3 linked regions of the Arabidopsis thaliana genome follow. The protein of the gene in region 3 interacts with the protein of the main gene of each other region in a biochemical or structural test. Each region holds a gene or a part of one and is shown on either strand. Other genes may lie near its edges.

Region 1 (4,951 bases), on a different chromosome or scaffold from region 3:
GAGACTGCTTTCGGAGAAAGGCAAAAAAAAAAAAAAAAAAAAGGCGATGATGATGGCGTTAGCGAACACCGACGCGGTTTCGTATGCGCGTGGTGGCCACGCACATCGAAACGACAAAACTGGTGGCCGTTTGCTACCGTCACATCGACAAAACCGTTTCTTTTTTGGGCGTTAGTTGCCTTATTGGGCCGGGACTTACTTGAATTTTAGCCTACTAAACGGAATCGTTTTGGGTTTGATTTTTTTTTTTTTTTTTTTTTTAAAAAAAAAAAAAAAAAAAAATTAAAAACCCCAAATGGGCTGGGCTTGATTTCTATAAACTTGGAAACTAAGTATTTTCGGATTTTACTTTTGTTAAAAGTTTATTTTCGAAATATTTTACATTAAAAAGTAATAGTAATAATTCCACAAATGACAAGTATCAACTCTCAAAACTATTCCATTTTCGTGTTTGTTTCCAAAATTAATACTATATACTTGGCAAAATTTCCTATACTTTTAAGAAGACTTTATCAGTTATTTCCATTGTTTCTTTTTTTGGGTCAAAAATTCAATTGTTTCTAAAATATTAAAAGCTAACTAAATGATGGTAGAAGTAATTTTGATCCAAAATATAACAATGTTTTTCCGGTTTTGATAAATTTGGACTATTTGTCTATTAGGCAAAATAGAAGTTTGATCAAATTTAATCAAGACCATATGTGTGTGCCTCTTTCTATATCTATCGCTTTTCGATTGTTGATTGTCTTCTTTTACATTACATGGATATTTTCCCCTCCCTAATCATTTAAACAGGCAGTGATAATGATGGTATGTTTGATTTTTGACCTTAAAAAACTCAAATCAACAAACATTATTTATGTCAATTGGCAAACAGGTACTTTTTAGGACTTAATTTTATGATGTACTAGTAGCAGCTAATTAAATGATACACACAATCGAGATTGTAATAAACTACAGCACTCCCTCTACAAAATACAATCAGTGAAGAGAGTTAACCTAGGGACGGAGATACAAACTACCCTTATGAATCTTTCAATCATTCAAAAATGTTTCAAAATCAAATGACAACGTACTAGCATAGTCTTGATTTCCCGGTTCAGGTAACGGACTAACAGGGCCGGTTGGGTTAGGATTTTCCATTAGCCATTTCTCAAATTCCGATAGTTTGGTCTCCAAGACGTTTTCATTAATCCCTGGTTGCTGTTGTACCGTAGCTGTATGCGAATCTTCAGCAGTAAGAGGAGCTTTGGACGGAGCAAACCGATCCACATTTGTCTGAAACTGACGATTTCCACTACCACGTATGTTCTGGTCTGCATGTCGAGTGAACACGTTGCTCTGAGAACCAGGTAGCGCTGTGCAATGATCACGAACATTGCGTTGTTGAGTGTACGTTTCCGGGTTTAATGTAGGTGCCACTGTGGAAGAGCTATGGTGACTGGATTGTGAAACTTGAGCATTGTTAAATCGGATGCTGATACCATTTCCCGCAGAAGAGGCTACTCGGGATCGTAGGCTAAACCTATAAGAACTTCTATCCTTTTGGATCACGCTGTCGCGAACAGTGCTTAATGACTGTGCCGGTTGACTCTGCAACCCTTGATTGTGCGGAATCGGTTGCCTGATTCTATGCCTGGCTTTGACACTTGAAGGATTAGCAACACGGGTAGATGATGAACAAGGCCGGATCTCAACATGGTTTTTCCGAAGCAAAGTGTTTTTGGGTACCCGTAAAATACTTGGAGTAGGTTTTGAAGATGGTGCGGTAGGCATGTATCCTGTCCTGAAGTATTCACGTTGATTCTTCCATATCTTCTCTTTATCATTAGCATGACAATGATCTATGGAGGAGACAGCGATACACCAGTATGGACACGGAGCACGGATGTCACACACATAACAATGACACTTGAAAGAGAAACCAAATGAAAAGGATCAGCCAGGAAAAGAATCCATTAACGCTCCGTGTAGAATTAGAGAATATTTAGATACTTACCATGTCACAGTACTTCTCATGTGATGTTGAGTTGAACGCATACTTAGCACACGAATGTCGCGGATGAGGGAAATCTCTACATGCTATCTACAAAACAAAAAAAATGCTTTTTCATATTAGGAAAACTTAAGTGAACAACACTTGTATAAAGATGGAACACACCAAAGAAAAAAAGTTCATCAATGTTACACCGATTAAATTACAATAACACAAAACAGTTCAATAACTATCCATTCCTAAAACAGTTCCATCACCAAAGAAAAAAAGTTCATCAATGTTACAACGATTACTTTACAATAACACAAAACAGTTCAATAACTATCCATTCCTAAAACAGTTCCTCAGAGCTAAACAACACTAACGCATACATAATCTGAAATGAGAAACTCTGCCTTTCACACCAATTCGAATGAAGAAAACGAAAGAGAACTTAGAAATGAGAAGGGTTCAGTGAAAACATACCTCACCCTTTTGACCCACTACAAGCACATCATCATCATCGTCGTCGTCAACTGAAGTAGTCTCCCTCGTCTTGTCGGGATCACAGTCCAAAATCACACAGTCGTCATCATCTTCCAAAGCTTGATTCGACGAGTTTGGCTTCCGATACTGAGAATTTACACCACCTCTAACCTCAGAAAGAACCTCGACTATATCGGTACTGTCAGATGTATCATCGACGGGTTCCATAACACCGTTTAGCCAATCGGTGTATTCTACGTCTCCCCGTGTATCGACATCCTCTTCGCCTGAGCTCACATCGACTATATCAACATGATTACCCGAACCCATTGACAAAATTTTCGTAACTGATCGCAGAAATTCGCAGCGATTTTGAAGTAGAATCAGTTGGCATGTGAGAACACTATAATTCAGTAAATTGACCGAATTCTAATACCCGGGAAAAATCGAGGTAAGAAGAAGCAATGAAATGGAAACTTCGAGCTGAGAAATTAGGGTTTGGTTTGGAATCAAAAAGCGGATGTTGTACTGGTGGTGGTGACGATGAAATGACGAGTTTTGAACGGGTATATGATGAATATGGGCCTAATGGGCCTCAACTCAAAAGAATCTGGGCTGATTATAGAAATTGATGGATTTATATGTTTTTCATTGATTGTTCATTTGTTTGGTTTGATGATCAAATTCTTCCCAACCTTTTATGTAAAAACAATATTAAAACAAATCATTTTCTTTGCTTCAGAAAACAACTTTTAGGAAAACTCGTAATTTGTTGTAAGGAAACGGATGAAATATTTATGTAAGCAATACAATTCCCAAGACACAAAGTGCATGTGCGGCCTAGGGGGTCCTTCACTTCACGGTATCAATGCCTCAGCTTCCGCATCTCCTTATTAATATCCAACGTTTAGCGTGTTATGTGCACGTTCTAACAATATTTTCATGAAAATCAAACCCTAGAATTTGTTGATAAGTTTTTTTTATTATTATATAAATTTGTTGATATTTGTTTCAACTTGATTAGTAATTCGTACCATAGTGGTGGTATAAGTGTTATTATTTCAATCATAAAACCAGTACCAAAATTGGTAAAAACTGGCGATATATATTTTCAACTTTCTGTATTAATATTTTTTATTTCGTATAGCTATATTAGTATTGTTAACGATTTTTTTTACTAAACTTTTTCATTATTGTTAACAATCGGACGAATAATACATAATGTATTGCATTTAAGAACAAAATTAACATTAATGATTATTTTTTATTCAAGTCAAAGAGATCTCGTAAGAGTCAAATCGAACGGCTGAGATAGAAGGAAGAATGTAGCGCGTGAGAGAGACATTTAAAACAATATTCAACCGTTGGGTTTGGTAAAGCCACATTCAAAGTCAATTCCAAATTTTCAACGCTTACAAGTTTAGGACCTGAACTTTTAGTTTTTCATATATTGGTTAAAGACTTTTAATTTCTTTTAATTTTATCCATAACTTCTACAAAGTCAAATCTCGTAATCAACATTAACGTTCGTTAATACTATGAGGTAATCAAGTATAAGATTCATTTAAATTATTCCGGAATCCGAGTCATCCGATATTATGCTAGACCTGTTCTTTTCGTAAATTAAATATCTTTGACTTATAGATCTTGTAAGTACTTGATCCTAAACAAATTATTGATTGCTAAAAGTGTATATTGTGCAATCAAAATATTTTTAAGGTACATCGTGATATAATTGCTATAATTCTCTTACCACTATATTTGTTTCCTGGATGGTTTTTCCTTAAGTAGTAGCATTTACAAAACTGAATAAAAGTAGCTAGTTAACTTTAAGCAAAATATAAATATAATGATTCGAACAAAATATAATTTATTTGATATTTTGTAGCTTGGCTTAACATTTTAAAACTTGAATTGGAAAGTAATGGAAACAAGCTAAAAAGACATTTCATGGATGATTTTGTAATATTTTTTTGATTAAATGTTAGTAGATTCATACCTAATAAAGTATTTTCTTTATATTGTCATTTTTTAATCTAATGTTCTTCAAAGATAATGATTATAGATTTAGATAATAGATAATTGCCCGTATATATGTAGATTTTATATATATATATATATGATAAAAAAAATTGAATTGACATTAATAACAGTGAACTAAAAACCATAATTTTGACCAAGATTTATAGCTTAATAAATTGTCTTACTATTATCGTTGATGTATCACAATCCTTGGTTTAAAATCCAGATATGATTGAATGTTGTCAATAATAAAATAAAAAAAGGTCTTAGGGGGTGTTATTGGTTTATGATTTTAAAAGAGTTTTAGTGACTTAAAATGTCATGTACAATCAGTTGTTATTCAATCAAGATTCTTTATTTAGATATTACGTTGTGAAATCCACATATAACAATGTTGTCAAAGTTTTAGAGTTTCTTCTTTAAAATTTGATTAGGTGAATAACATTACATATAAGTAATGAAGGAAAT
Region 2 (7,988 bases), on a different chromosome or scaffold from region 3:
ACATTAAAAACAGATTATTGAATTTTTTCATAATATATAATACCACATTATTCTTATTAGTTAAGTTTATGTTGTTCATCGTTTCTTATGTTTTTCCTCAGATTTTCCCCATATGTTGCATTGTAAGTTTGTAACTTGCTACATTATGTCAATACACCGTGCCATGGATGTTTCCATGAGTTGAGATTAGCATCTGAAGAAGATTTCAGATGGCTATCAAGAGATTGTTGCAAAGTAGTGATCTCACTTCCTGATACTTGAGTCTTGCTTAACTAAATTACCCTATTTCTATCTTTGATGTAGAGTCAGTCCCTCCACTTAATTGATAAATGATAATATTGTGTATCTTTTAATGAAGACTAGAATGGATCAAATATACTTATATATTTTCGAATTACACATATATATCTGCCACTTGCTATCTCTAAATGGAATTATGGAATGGTTCATGGCCATTCCCTTTGTCTAAGGTCTCATGTTAATCTTGTTCCTTTGGTTTTAAAAAGAATATCTTAGATGTGAATATTCCTCATTTGTTGGGAATAGATTTTATGGTTTTTTTTATGCCAACTACATCATATATTTTAGTTATTAGAAACAGATTAAACTTACTTAACGTGCATAAAAATTTATCGAACCAAGTAGAGCTATCTAGAAGCGTATTAAAATAAGTTTAAGTGGTTCTCTTCTGCTATTGCTAATTTACACACGGCATGGACAAAATCAAAGTTGCTTCCTTCGAAAGAAACAATCTCTTCACAATCTTTTTCGGCTTGAAGTTGCGTTAAAAGTACCAACATGATACTTTTCTATTGATTATATCTACTCGAAATGGTTATGACAAATTATATTTTATATGTTAATTTGTCTCTTCACTGTTTATCCGTTCGTCAAAACGGGTATAGAGTTAATGTAGGAAGATAATTCTTCAGAAGAAAAAAAAATTGAGTTCACACATTTGATGATACTACATTACAGGCTATTGGATCAATAACAGTAGACTCTTTCATTTACTTCTTTTTTCTTTATTGTAAATTACACATTCTTATACAGGAGAGGTGGCAGCAGCCAAAAGAGCAGCTGCAAAGAGTGGTTACTCTCCCTCGAGATTGGAGCCAAGGTCAGACTGCAACAAGATATCTCCAGACCACCAGGGCATCATCACCTTATGTAAATATCCGAACTTATTTTCGCAAGAGAGCAATGAACAGAAGCTATACACTAGAGCCTCTTCTTCTCTATAGCAAAAAGTGATACACAGTGCCTTATATCTACAGCGGGTGAAGCTTGGAATGTTGGGTGGTGTGTAAAACTTACGGATAAGGATATGTCCCCAATCATTAATCTATACCTAAGGTTGAAATGGAAGTGCTTAGTATATTTTACACAAACTATCATCACATCTGGAGAAGATTGTTCACGGTAACAGCAACAGAGTTTGTTCTCTGCAGGTCCTGCAAGAAATTGAAACATAACAGGTTCAAGTATCAAGTCACGTGAATCTTAAAACTGAACTATCCATAGCTTAAGGACCAGTCTAGTGAATATAGAGACCAGTTCAGGCAAATTGACCACATACATAAACTGATAAAATTCGGCTTCAGGTATGAATATATGCAAAAAATAGTTCCTTCCAGTCAATGCAGAAGACAATCTAAATGAGCCACCAACTCAACTCAACCATGTATGCACATCCCATCAAAGCTTACAGATAATCCAATATGCACTTAAAATTTACCTGGAAAATAATTTCATCGGGCACGTGTGGCATGACTTCCCTCACTGTCTCGGCCATAGCTAGTATATTTGTTAAGCTTTCATTTGTCGTGTTTGATACAGTTCTCAGATGCAGACCACCTGTCCTTCCACCATTACCAGGAGGTACAGTTGTAGAAGAAGTGGATGCTTGTGAAGGGTTCATCGGCCATAGACTCCAAGCAGCATCGTCAAGTGCAGTTTGAGCATAGCTTTCGCCAACAGATGCAAGATGCCTCATCATCATCTGAACCCGCCCAAGTCCAACTGTCCTGGAAGTGGTAGAAGGACCAGCGACATCAGAACCCTGACTTGACCATGTCTGCAGCCAACTTGGATCCAATCCTAAATTCCTATTTTGTGAAAGAAAGGGATGAGAACTTATACAATCCAGTAAAATAAATCCAAGAAATATGCACAAATAGTGGTCGTCAGAAACCAAATATAACTTGCTATTCAAAACATTTTAAAATAACGTTACTTTAAGGCAGTGCAAATTTAGTATCTCAGTACCAAGATCAAGGGAGTCGCAGGAAAAGAATCATGAAGTTCTAAATAAATTGTTACTTTGGTGTAGTTAATAAGAAAATCAAGAACGAAGAATGAACTGAACCTCGAAGTATCATTTTCGACAGAATCTGGCACCTCAGCAGGAAATAATCCAGTGGCTAGTGCATGTACAGGATTGTTTTGTCTTTCAAGCTGACGGGCTAACTGCTCATCACTTGAGACTTCCACTGTGCGAGGGTTCACCTCATTTTCAGTTCTACCAACGAAAAGAGGCTTACGACATGTAGGACAAGAATAAACCTCATTTAGACCTTGATCCAACCTGCAGGAATCAAAACATCATCAGGATCACCAGTGTGAGTCATAAAGACACGAGGCTGTCGATATTTAGCTAAGCGCACCAGGATCGCAGGCATCCAAGATGGAAAAGGTGGTTGCAGTGAAGCCTTTTAGCCTTAGCCATAGGTTCCTGCCAATTATAATTGTATTTTAAGAGTTTGAGATTGAAAGCTTATAAGAAAATGACTATAGCAGAAGCGTACCCGACATATAGCACATTCATCATCATATGCCCTTAACTCTTCAGAAGTTGCATCAGGGAGGGCTGCATGGAGAGCACCCAGAGCTATTCTTAGTTTAATGTATCCTTTTATTCGTTTCAAAATTGCACTTAGCAATGCCTGCCAAACCAAACAGAAAACCAGGTAAAAATACAACAATTCAATGCTGTGCCTAGTATCAAGTAACCGGGAGAGTGACACTGTTTTAAAGAAAGCCAATTAACAGACATACACGTATGTTGAGAAACAAAACTGCATCCACCAGATGAAAGGCAATGCCATGCAGCCACCAAATGTGCAAATAATGACCTAGTGCCATTACCAAAGTAGCCATGTCCAGGAAGAAACCAAGGTTACGGTTGAGGAGGCCTTTCCATTCCAACAGTGAGCCTATCCAAAGATAAGAGTTTAACTTGAGATTTGGAGTTCCAATAGACCAAAAATGTCCACAAGAATGCATTTTCGGGCTCTAATAGAAAAACAAAGCATAACACCAGAAAAGAAACGACCTGCTGTCATAGAATCAATAAACTTAGATCTTTGGCAGTCTGAGTTCTTAACTGCTAAGTGGTTAATCCACATATCTAGCAGCTGAAACCCATGAATTAACAGCGCCTGCAAAAAGTTCCGATGAGCTCTATATTTTGTTGACTATGGCTACGAAAGAAAGACAACGAGTAGGACGAAGAAGAAAACTGTTATCAATTAAGTACCTGCAAGGTCTCAAAAGCTATACTGCATGGCTCAAAAAGTAACAACAGATACACAGCGGAACCAATTGTATTGTATGTCATAAGGGAAAGTTTTATCCTGCAAGATTGGAGAAAAGTAAATCCTGTTACTCAGCATATCATCTAGACATGCGTGAAACTGGTTACTAAAACGTTACTACACAAAGAGATCAAACGAGTTTTCTAACTGGAATTCAGTCCACAAAACATAATGAACTCAGACACAAAACCTTCCTCGCTCTACGGCATCCACATTTTCACTCAGAAGTTTTTGGCTTTACTTTCGCCTTGACAATGCATAGATGAATTTCAGGACAACAACTCTCACAGTAAAGCATAAACATAAAAAGCAAGCTATGCACTCTCTCTATGTTGTTGAAGAACTTAAAGTTGTTCTTAACGGACTGGGGTAAATCTAGAGAACATCTACTCTGATCCTCTAAAATAAACCAGAAGTGTTTGAGAAGAAAATCAAGATAGAAAGTGCAGCAATTGAATATTTGAGACTATACCGCAAGGTTTAGGATTTACCAGAACATATCAACAGAGAGGACCAAGAATAGCACTGAATACACACGAAAGTATGTCCAAGGTGTAGAAGAAGGAGATGCATTCAATCGTTCAAGCCGGTCTCTAGCCAAAGCTTGAAACATCTACATAACATTACAAGGTACAGTTTAGGGTGTCGACAAAAGATAATTCAGAATTTGGTTTCTCGTAAATCAAGAACGCCCAGTGTTTCATACCTTTAAAGTACATAGAACAGTCAACCAAACTGTCCACAGTACACCCTGAAATATTGTTGGGGGAATCACCAGTGGTAGAAACGTACCCTAGGGACAGGAGGATTAGAAGCGGGAAATAAACTATTAACACCCACAATACATACATATGTCTGCAAATAACTCAAATCCAGAAAACACTACACATAGAAACAAAGTGCAAGAGGAAATGAAGGGAAAATGTGGCAGAATCAACTGTCTAAGTAAAGACCTCTGAGGCTTCAAAAACTATTTTTCTGTTTCCCATTACTCTGTCACTATAATAATATACCATTTGTTTACCTGACACAGTTATTTTAAATAATGAACACTACCAAGAATATCTCATACAAAACACAGAATGTAGGTTATTGTATGTCAGAGTCTAGTTTTCAATCAAAGTAAGAACAGCTACCTTGTATATGATATAATTGGCAAGTCGCTCCACCAACTTTTTGGTTTCAACATCATATAAATCTCCAAAAAATAGAGTCTGCAGAAGATGTTGAGAAGACATTAGAACCACAGACAATGGTCACAAGACATCTCCAGAAACAATTAACAAACAGTATGAAATTCCTGAGTTTTCTTTCATGCAAGACATTCAACTACCGGAAACGAGAGTTTGACTCTTATAAATTAAGAACATTTGCTTCTTATGCACATCACTACATTCGCAGGGGAAAACTAATAATAATGTTTTCGATCGTAACCAAAGTAAGAACTGTAAATTGGACTCTGTTTCCAACAGAAGAGAAATCAGTGGTGCAAGTCTGAAACTTTAAGAGCCTAAAAAAGATGTCCCAAGAACAAGTGAAACAATTAAGAATAAGAGTAACAAATAATGAGACACCTCTCTACCAGTGACTAATGTAGATTAGGAGGCAAACAAGCTCAGTCTAAGGATAGAAGGAATTTCATAAAGGTATTAATCGCTTAAAGTATGAATCTAGTGAAGTTTGGAAGTTCAATTTCATTGATTTGGAGGGAGCCTACGATGTCTACGAAAGCTAAATATTAGAAAAAACATTGCTTATATTGCATCCCAATAGTAAAAGGTTACTCTTACCTTGAGAGAAAGTACCAGAAGAATATACACATTGAGCACAAAATTTGTAAGCAGCGCAATAGTGAAATAAGAGCCCAGAAGCAGCTCAAGCGCATGCTCAGAGTCTCCTAAAGAAATGTTCTTGGCAATCAGCCCATCTGCTCGAAGTCTATCGAGAGACAACTCTGTCCAGACTTGAAGTCCAACAAAGCTGAGAGCTGTTGATGCTACGGAGACGGGCAAGTACTTTATCCCCATTAGGAACTATTACAGCCTTCCCACTTAAACTTAATCCCCAGAATCTCATTTAGTCATATTAGCATGACGCCATCTGCAAAGACATGATCTCTCATAAGTATTAAGACTCGGACGATACAAACAACTACAAAAATTGAACATTTCCATAAAAAGATGATTTTTTTTTCAGAATGTAAAGAAAATTGAGCTCCAAAGCAGAGGAAAATCCAAAACTTGGGTTCTTTTAGATTGAGTCGTATGCATACAGGTGAAATCAGATTTGTACAGAAGCCAAAAATGCTACATAGAGGTACCAAGTACAAAGACCCGATTCACAAGAAATAAAAAGATATGATCCAAAATTGAAACAATATAAATCAAAAATCGAAAATTGAAGAAAGGAGCTAGGAGGAAGATTTTACAAGGAATAAAATGCAGAGTTCTTAAGAAATGGATCGAATCATAGAAAAACCTGAATCCGCGAAGCTTGTCTGTCGGTTGGGGAAATTCTGTGAAAGCAGCGTGTCACCGTGCCTCTCTGTCTTTTTCTCCTCTCGATCGAGAGAGAATCGAAAAGTAGAAAGAGCAAAATTCGATATCTTCTTCCTTCCTGGAAAACAATAGAATACTTTTCTTATTAATTAGAAAATAAACTGATACGGTCAACACATGTTTTTTTTGTTGAGTTTATTTTCAACATATGTATGCCTACTGAAAAAATCTATATAACATCAAAAAATTTATTTAATTCATTTGTTATATATGGTTTTGGTGAAACCAAAAACTCTAGTTATAATATTTTCTAACCATTTTTAACAACAACAAAATGTTATATACATCTCAGTAAACATTTTTTTTCTTTAAGAGCAATAGTTTGATTTTGACACACCAACAAATTTGAATATGACCCCTTTAACCAAAAACACCTTTAACTCATTAAAGATTTCTTAAGTTGGTGACTAGTTTGAATTTTCCCATATAAAAACAAACAAAAGCTAAATTCATATGGATTTAACGCAAAAAGCCCATGTAAATTTTTAATATATTTGGGCCTTACAGGCCCAGTAATGGATCTTCAATTCTTCGACTTTTAATTTCCAGAATTCTCATGATCTTGGCGGATTTCGCTTTTAATTCCGTCAATCTCTCCGATCAAAATATCTCCAATTCAATAAACCCAAAAAAAAAAATCCGATCTACGGAGAAGAAGATGGGGATAATAAGGAGCAGCTTCTCTTTCATCATGGGAACAGTGTGCGGGATCTACATCGCTCAGACCTACAACGTCCCTAACATCAAAAAGCTCGGTCACTGCGCCGTTTCAATGGCCAAGCAAGTTGAGGAGAAATATCGCAAGCCCAAAAGCAGAGACGACGTTTGACAGATTCCACTTAGCAGCTTCTCCGGTGAATTCACCGTCTCTTGTACCTTTTTTAAAAATGAATTTTGCTACTTCTTAAGGTTTATGTGTAAATTCAGTGAAATTTGATGATCATATAGAACCAAATGATGATTCTTTATTCCGATTGCTGCAATTTTCAGCTGTTTTGATTGGTTTAAATATCATTCGACAACCAAATTAGGTAATCTTATTCTCATTCAAACTTAAGAAATGAAGACAACTGGGGAAAAAGGAACGAACTTTAAAAGGATAAAAAAAGTGTGAAATTGTCAAAGAAACTGATAAATAATGAAGGAAAAAACTCAAACGAGGACATCAATGGGAGGTCTGGATGCTGGTGGTGATGATGATGATGCAGCTACTTCATCTTCTGATCCAAACAATAACGCTTTGACTTCTGCTATGATTAGTTTAGTGAGCAACAATCCAGAGATCAATGCTGCAGTCATCAACATGTAAAACACTGCGTCCCAGCTTATGGCAGAGATGTAACCAGTGAGGACTGGTCCAATCGCAGCACCGACGGATCCTGTGCCGTCTATGATAGCTGAGACTGTAGCCAAAGCCCTTGCATTGCCTTTGAGAGATTTGTGGGTTCCGAGATCAGCTGAGACAGCTGTTGTGATGAGAGCAAATGGTCCAATGATGAAGACTCCTGATGTGAACATGAGGATGACATTGATGGTCAATGAGATGTGTCCAAAGACTCTGTAGAGGAAAAGAGCTGGGATGGCCAAGTACATGAATCCTGCTGCTGTGATGGCTCTGCCGTTGAGTTGATCAGATATGTATCCGGCTAAGACTCCACCAACAACGCCTCCAACATCGAAGATTGTCGACAAGTTTCCTGATGTCTCCTCTGACAGGTACTCTCCTCCGATCACTGCATCACATATAATTCAGACAATGCATATATAGTCAGGCTACAACACTAGAGGTAAAAGGAAGGAGAGATGATGAGAAACATTACTGTTGTGGCTGACG
Region 3 (6,612 bases):
AGTAATCATATAACTTTAAGTTCAGGTCGAAATTCTTAAAGCTATTTCCTTTGTGTTCTGAGTTTTGATTGATTGATAAAAGATTGCATTTTTCATGTCTTGCTGTTTGATTTACTCGTATTTTGGAGTGGTGCTTGTGTTCTGATCTCTCCTAATAAATCTATTCAGGCCAAAAAGAGGAAACTTGGTTTGGTTGATGATGAGGATACCAAGACAGAAGGAGAGACCATAGAGGACTTACCTAAAGTTGTCAATGTTCGAGGTGAGTTGTTTTGGATACCTTCTTCACGCGTTTATGTGCTTTCTCTCTGCCTTTACATGCACTAATGTCTTTTGTTTCACAGATAACTCGGAGAGGGCTTTCTACAAGGAGCTAGTTAAAGTCATTGAATTGTCTGATGTCATTTTGGAGGTTCTTGATGCCCGTGATCCTCTTGGCACTCGTTGTACTGACATGGAGAGGATGGTGATGCAAGCCGGTCCCAATAAGCATCTTGTGTTGCTGCTGAACAAGATTGGTAAGTTCATATATTCAGTCTTTACTCGTGGACGTAATAAGTTGTTTGTTTACTCTGGGTGGTGTAATTAATTTTTGTAACTGATTCACTCTCTCCAGATCTTGTTCCCCGAGAGGCTGCTGAGAAATGGCTTATGTACCTTAGGGAAGAATTTCCAGCTGTTGCCTTCAAGTGTAGCACCCAGGAACAGAGATCAAACTTGGGTTGGAAATCATCTAAGGCATCAAAACCAAGCAATATGTTGCAGACGAGTGATTGTCTTGGAGCAGACACTCTTATCAAATTGTTGAAGAACTACTCAAGAAGTCATGAGGTTGGTTCCATAGTTTAAACTTTAATCATCCTACCTTAGCATCAAGTTATATCATTCAGTTTCAATTAAATCTTCCTTTGTTGTTCTTTGGCAGTTAAAAAAATCTATCACAGTTGGTATTATTGGACTGCCTAATGTCGGCAAGAGTAGTCTTATTAACAGTCTGAAGAGAGCGCATGTTGTCAATGTTGGTGCCACTCCTGGACTGACTAGATCTCTGCAAGAGGTTCACTTGGACAAAAACGTGAAGTTGCTGGATTGTCCTGGAGTTGTGATGTTGAAATCATCAGGAAATGATGCTTCCATAGCTCTCCGAAATTGTAAAAGAATCGAGAAGTTGGATGACCCAGTTAGTCCAGGTAATTGGATATAAGCTCAAGATAGAATCACACTTATTTTTGTGCTTTGTCTTTTAAAGGTTATAATCTGAGTGACCTAACTTGGAAATCTTCTGCTTTGTGAAAAAAATAGTGAAGGAAATTCTCAAGCTTTGTCCTAAAGATATGCTGGTGACTCTCTACAAAATCCCGAGCTTCGAGGCAGTTGATGATTTCCTTTACAAAGTCGCCACTGTAAGGGGTAAACTTAAAAAGGGTGGTCTTGTGGATATTGATGCTGCTGCCAGAATTGTTTTGCATGACTGGAATGAAGGTGCGGATCTTTTTTTGTTCCTCGTAAACTTGAAGCGTAAAAGCATTTTTGAAAACCAGTTTCTTAACTCATCATTGTCTCTAATATGAATGGTTATGCAGGTAAAATCCCATACTATACAATGCCGCCAAAGAGGGACCAGGGTGGACATGCAGAGTCAAAGATTGTGACTGAGCTGGCCAAGGATTTCAACATCGATGAGGTTTACAGTGGTGAATCCTCTTTCATTGGGAGCTTGAAGACGGTTAACGAATTCAACCCTGTTATTATTCCTTCAAATGGTCCTCTCAATTTCGATGAAACTATGATCGAGGTTGGTAACTTCTCTCGTGATTCCATTTGCTTGTAAATGACTCGGTCTGGATTTAATCTTTGTTTATGATGATGTATCACAAAAAAAAAAAACAGGATGAGTCTAAGACGCAGACGGAAGAGGAGGCTGAGCATGAGAGTGATGATGATGAGTCAATGGGAGGGGAGGAGGAGGAAGAGGCAGGAAAGACGAAGGAGAAATCAGAGACGGGGAGGCAGAACGTGAAGCTATACGCAGCGGAAAGCATGTTGAATACAAAGAAACAGAAAGCAGAGAAGAAGAAGAGGAAGAAAGCAAAGAAAGCAGGAGCTGATGAGGAGGATCTGATGGACGGAGATTATGATTTCAAAGTGGATTATAGGAAGAACAAAGATGGAGAAGACGAAGAATTCCAGATTGATGCTAAAATCCCAATGGCTGGACTTTTGCCTGAAGAATGAGTGATTGGAAACCACAACGTTTTTTTTTTTTTTTTTTTTTGTATTTGGCGTTTATGAGTCGGTCGGTTAAACTTTCTGATATATGTGCTTCATGAACTAGTAGTAATACTGAAGCGATTTTGATTTCTTTAATTAACGTTTCTTCTATTCCAATTCTGCTTTGCTTAACAAATATCTTAAGAACATTCAAAAATCATTGAGGTAAGTGTACTTCTTCGCCCTTCAGAAGAAAGTAATAATCTTTTACCCTTTCAGTTTCAGGTAACGAATGACGAAAACAACACCCGAGTTCAGTACATCAGATTTCTCTGTCTCTCTCTTGGAACTTCCAAACTCGACCATATCCGTCAAATTGAATTCCAAGTTGCAAATGTGAAAGCAGTTTAAACCCGTGTTGACTTTAACGCAAGTAAAGGACGTTGACTTTGTTGAGGTCCTTAAGGATAATTGATCAAAATGTTATGTGGCAGGCATGTAAGGTGTGAACCGAAAGCTTGGCTTTGCTCAAATTCAGCAAGTTCACCAAGAGAAACTAAATCAGTGAAGGAAAAAAGGTTCAAGCGAGACTCTGAGGAAGATGGCTTCGGCTACTGTTGATTTTGGGATCGGACGGATTCTTAGTGTCCTGGAAAACGAGACCTTGTTATTGTCAGGAGTCCATGGTGAGATTGATAAAATGAAGAAGGAGTTGCTGATCATGAAGTCCTTTCTTGAGGATACTCATAAACATGGTGGAAATGGATCCACAACAACAACAACTCAACTCTTCCAAACTTTTGTGGCAAACACGAGAGATTTGGCTTACCAAATCGAAGACATTCTCGACGAGTTTGGCTATCACATCCACGGTTATCGTAGCTGCGCCAAAATTTGGCGTGCGTTTCATTTCCCGAGGTATATGTGGGCGAGGCACTCGATAGCTCAAAAGCTAGGAATGGTTAATGTCATGATTCAATCCATTTCTGATTCCATGAAAAGGTACTATCATTCAGAAAACTACCAAGCAGCATTATTACCGCCTATTGATGATGGCGATGCAAAGTGGGTGAACAACATCAGTGAGTCATCTCTTTTCTTTAGTGAAAATAGTCTTGTAGGGATTGATGCACCCAAGGGAAAGCTCATCGGACGGCTTCTAAGTCCCGAACCTCAGCGGATTGTTGTCGCGGTGGTTGGGATGGGCGGTTCAGGGAAAACTACACTCTCAGCGAATATCTTCAAGTCTCAAAGTGTGCGGAGGCATTTTGAGTCTTACGCTTGGGTTACAATCTCGAAATCTTATGTGATTGAAGATGTGTTTAGGACCATGATCAAGGAGTTTTACAAAGAAGCAGATACACAGATTCCAGCTGAATTATACTCCTTAGGCTACAGAGAGTTGGTGGAAAAACTTGTGGAGTATTTGCAGTCGAAGAGGTACATTGTTGTGCTTGATGATGTATGGACCACTGGTCTATGGAGGGAGATAAGTATTGCTTTACCAGATGGTATTTATGGAAGTCGTGTTATGATGACTACTCGGGACATGAACGTGGCTTCTTTCCCATATGGAATTGGGAGCACAAAGCACGAGATTGAGCTCTTAAAAGAAGACGAAGCTTGGGTGCTTTTCTCCAACAAAGCTTTTCCGGCAAGTCTTGAGCAATGCAGAACGCAGAATTTGGAGCCGATAGCACGAAAATTAGTCGAGAGATGTCAGGGTTTGCCATTAGCTATTGCTTCTTTGGGAAGCATGATGTCAACCAAGAAGTTTGAATCAGAATGGAAGAAAGTCTACAGTACTTTAAACTGGGAACTGAACAACAATCATGAACTCAAGATTGTTCGAAGCATTATGTTCCTTAGCTTCAATGATTTGCCATACCCGCTTAAACGTTGTTTCTTATATTGTTCTCTTTTCCCTGTGAACTATCGGATGAAAAGAAAGAGGCTCATTAGGATGTGGATGGCACAAAGGTTTGTGGAACCGATCAGAGGAGTGAAAGCAGAAGAAGTGGCTGATAGTTACCTCAATGAACTTGTTTACAGAAATATGCTTCAAGTTATCTTGTGGAATCCTTTTGGACGACCCAAGGCGTTCAAGATGCATGACGTGATATGGGAGATTGCTCTATCTGTATCCAAACTTGAGAGGTTCTGTGATGTATATAATGATGACAGTGATGGTGATGATGCTGCAGAAACAATGGAGAATTACGGTAGTCGCCATTTATGCATTCAGAAAGAGATGACACCTGATAGTATACGTGCAACAAACCTTCACTCTCTTTTGGTTTGCTCTTCTGCTAAACACAAGATGGAATTACTTCCAAGTCTGAACCTTCTGAGAGCCTTAGACCTTGAAGACTCTTCCATCAGCAAGTTACCAGATTGTTTAGTAACTATGTTCAACTTAAAGTACTTGAATTTGTCCAAGACACAGGTGAAAGAACTGCCAAAAAACTTCCATAAACTCGTCAATTTGGAGACGTTGAACACAAAGCACTCCAAGATTGAGGAACTTCCTCTAGGGATGTGGAAATTGAAGAAGTTGCGATATCTCATTACTTTTCGCCGCAATGAAGGACATGATTCCAATTGGAATTATGTTTTAGGTACAAGGGTTGTTCCTAAAATCTGGCAGTTGAAGGATTTGCAAGTCATGGACTGCTTCAACGCAGAAGATGAGCTTATCAAAAATCTCGGGTGTATGACTCAGCTCACAAGAATAAGTCTTGTCATGGTTAGGAGAGAACATGGAAGAGACTTGTGCGATTCACTGAATAAGATTAAAAGAATTCGATTCTTATCTTTAACGTCGATTGATGAAGAGGAACCGTTAGAGATAGATGACCTGATCGCAACTGCAAGCATTGAGAAGCTCTTTCTTGCTGGGAAACTGGAGAGAGTACCAAGTTGGTTCAACACTCTTCAAAACCTTACCTATTTGGGTTTGCGTGGATCTCAGCTACAGGAAAACGCCATTCTCTCTATCCAAACGCTTCCTAGATTGGTATGGCTTTCATTTTACAATGCATACATGGGACCTAGGTTGCGTTTTGCACAAGGATTTCAGAATCTGAAGATTCTAGAGATAGTTCAGATGAAACATCTGACAGAAGTTGTTATAGAAGACGGTGCAATGTTTGAGCTTCAGAAGCTTTATGTCAGGGCTTGTAGAGGGTTAGAGTACGTACCAAGAGGAATTGAGAATCTTATAAATCTTCAAGAACTGCATTTGATTCATGTTTCTAATCAGTTAGTAGAACGCATTCGCGGAGAAGGGAGTGTGGACCGGTCAAGGGTTAAACACATTCCTGCGATTAAGCATTATTTCAGAACTGATAATGGCTCTTTCTATGTGAGCCTCTCATCTTAGGCGGCCAAGGCAAGCTTCATCATACAAGATACTGCACACTGTACTGTGAAAATCAGGGATGGATATTCACATAACTACTAAACGCCATGAGCTTACCAAACAGATTGATTGTCATGTGTTGTCTTTGAAAGTCAACAATCAGGTCTTCTCTTCACTCAAAGACAACATTTTTTTGCTGGTCTCATGAGTCAGTGCTAATGACTAAACAGCTCACTTCACAGCAGTTTCCACTGTTTTTTTTCGAAATTCATTTAAGTAAGATTTAATATGGTCAGCTGATTGTTCTGTAATTCTGTGTAAACATTACTTTGTTAAGACCTTAATATTGTTGACATTGTTATTTGAGTATCGGCTTCAACCAAGAAATTCCACTACCGTGTTAGTCTTCTAAATGAAAGTGGCTCATTCACAATCCCAAAAGTTAGGACCTTTACACTAATCGAAATAACCAGATACAGTTGGACTAAATACTTAATACTACTCCAAAACATTCCATTTTAAATTTCTCCTTAACTGATGGAAAAGTTTTGAAATTTTGAAAAGAAGAAAGTAAAAAAAATCTTGTTATCAACGATCCGCGGCGGTTAAAACGGAGATTATTATTGATGGATGGATATCTGGTCATTCGTGTTATCCACGTGCAACTAACGCACGTAAAAGACATACTAACCTCCCCGAAAATCGGATCCGGATCCGAAAATATCTGACCCGTTTTGAAGCGGTTTGACGAAAGACCGTTTTGGGCCTAGTCAATAGTAAAAATTAAAAACTCAAGGCTCTTTGGTGTCCCTTGGTATTACTATCGGCCTTTCCCGATGCTCTTTCTTCTTCATCTTGAAACTCGCGATTCCTTCTTCTCCTTCTAGGGTTTATTACTAAGGGTTTCTCTATCCTTAAATCTCATCTCTGTCCTTTCTTCTTCTCCAGAGCGTCGTTCACTGTTCTCTCTCTAAAACCTAGGGTTTTCGATCTTTTCATCTTCTGGTAAAATGGATAGATACCAGAGAGTCGCTAAACCG

The links. Proteins that work in one complex are often made in the same cells at the same time.
Region 1: the proteins of RPM1 (region 3) and RIN13 form a complex in vitro, tested with the Arabidopsis thaliana proteins (one study listed by BioGRID).
Region 2: the proteins of RPM1 (region 3) and RIN2 form a complex in vitro, tested with the Arabidopsis thaliana proteins (one study listed by BioGRID).

The regions. Positions count from the first base shown.
Region 1 is NC_003071.7:8,760,293-8,765,243, forward strand, and holds RIN13 (RPM1 interacting protein 13), read right to left. Parts: upstream 3,081-4,951; 5' UTR 2,792-3,080; coding exon 2,462-2,791; intron 2,087-2,461; coding exon 2,000-2,086; intron 1,912-1,999; coding exon 1,036-1,911; 3' UTR 888-1,035; downstream 1-887.
Region 2 is NC_003075.7:12,922,081-12,930,068, reverse strand, and holds RIN2 (RPM1 interacting protein 2), read right to left. Parts: upstream 6,388-7,988; 5' UTR 6,075-6,387; exon of another isoform or gene 5,697-6,074; 5' UTR 5,624-5,696; coding exon 5,387-5,623; intron 4,811-5,386; coding exon 4,733-4,810; intron 4,390-4,732; coding exon 4,303-4,389; intron 4,210-4,302; coding exon 4,088-4,209; intron 3,636-4,087; coding exon 3,539-3,635; intron 3,441-3,538; coding exon 3,335-3,440; intron 3,216-3,334; coding exon 3,058-3,215; intron 2,946-3,057; coding exon 2,808-2,945; intron 2,735-2,807; coding exon 2,667-2,734; intron 2,588-2,666; coding exon 2,369-2,587; intron 2,109-2,368; coding exon 1,739-2,108; intron 1,455-1,738; coding exon 1,398-1,454; 3' UTR 795-1,397; downstream 1-794. Other genes in the region: AT4G25225 (uncharacterized protein), read left to right, coding at 6,711-6,983; G3Pp2 (root hair specific 15), read right to left, coding at 7,307-7,887, 7,975-7,988. UniProt on the Arabidopsis thaliana protein: E3 ubiquitin protein ligase that acts as a positive regulator of RPM1- and RPS2-dependent hypersensitive response (HR), in association with RIN3. Probably not required for RPM1 degradation during HR.
Region 3 is NC_003074.8:2,225,225-2,231,836, reverse strand, and holds RPM1 (NB-ARC domain-containing disease resistance protein), read left to right. Parts: upstream 1-2,281; 5' UTR 2,282-2,812; coding exon 2,813-5,593; 3' UTR 5,594-5,982; downstream 5,983-6,612. Other genes in the region: NSN1 (GTP-binding family protein), read left to right, coding at 169-262, 345-518, 617-831, 926-1,190, 1,303-1,482, 1,584-1,795, 1,891-2,235; AT3G07030 (Alba DNA/RNA-binding protein), read left to right, coding at 6,583-6,612.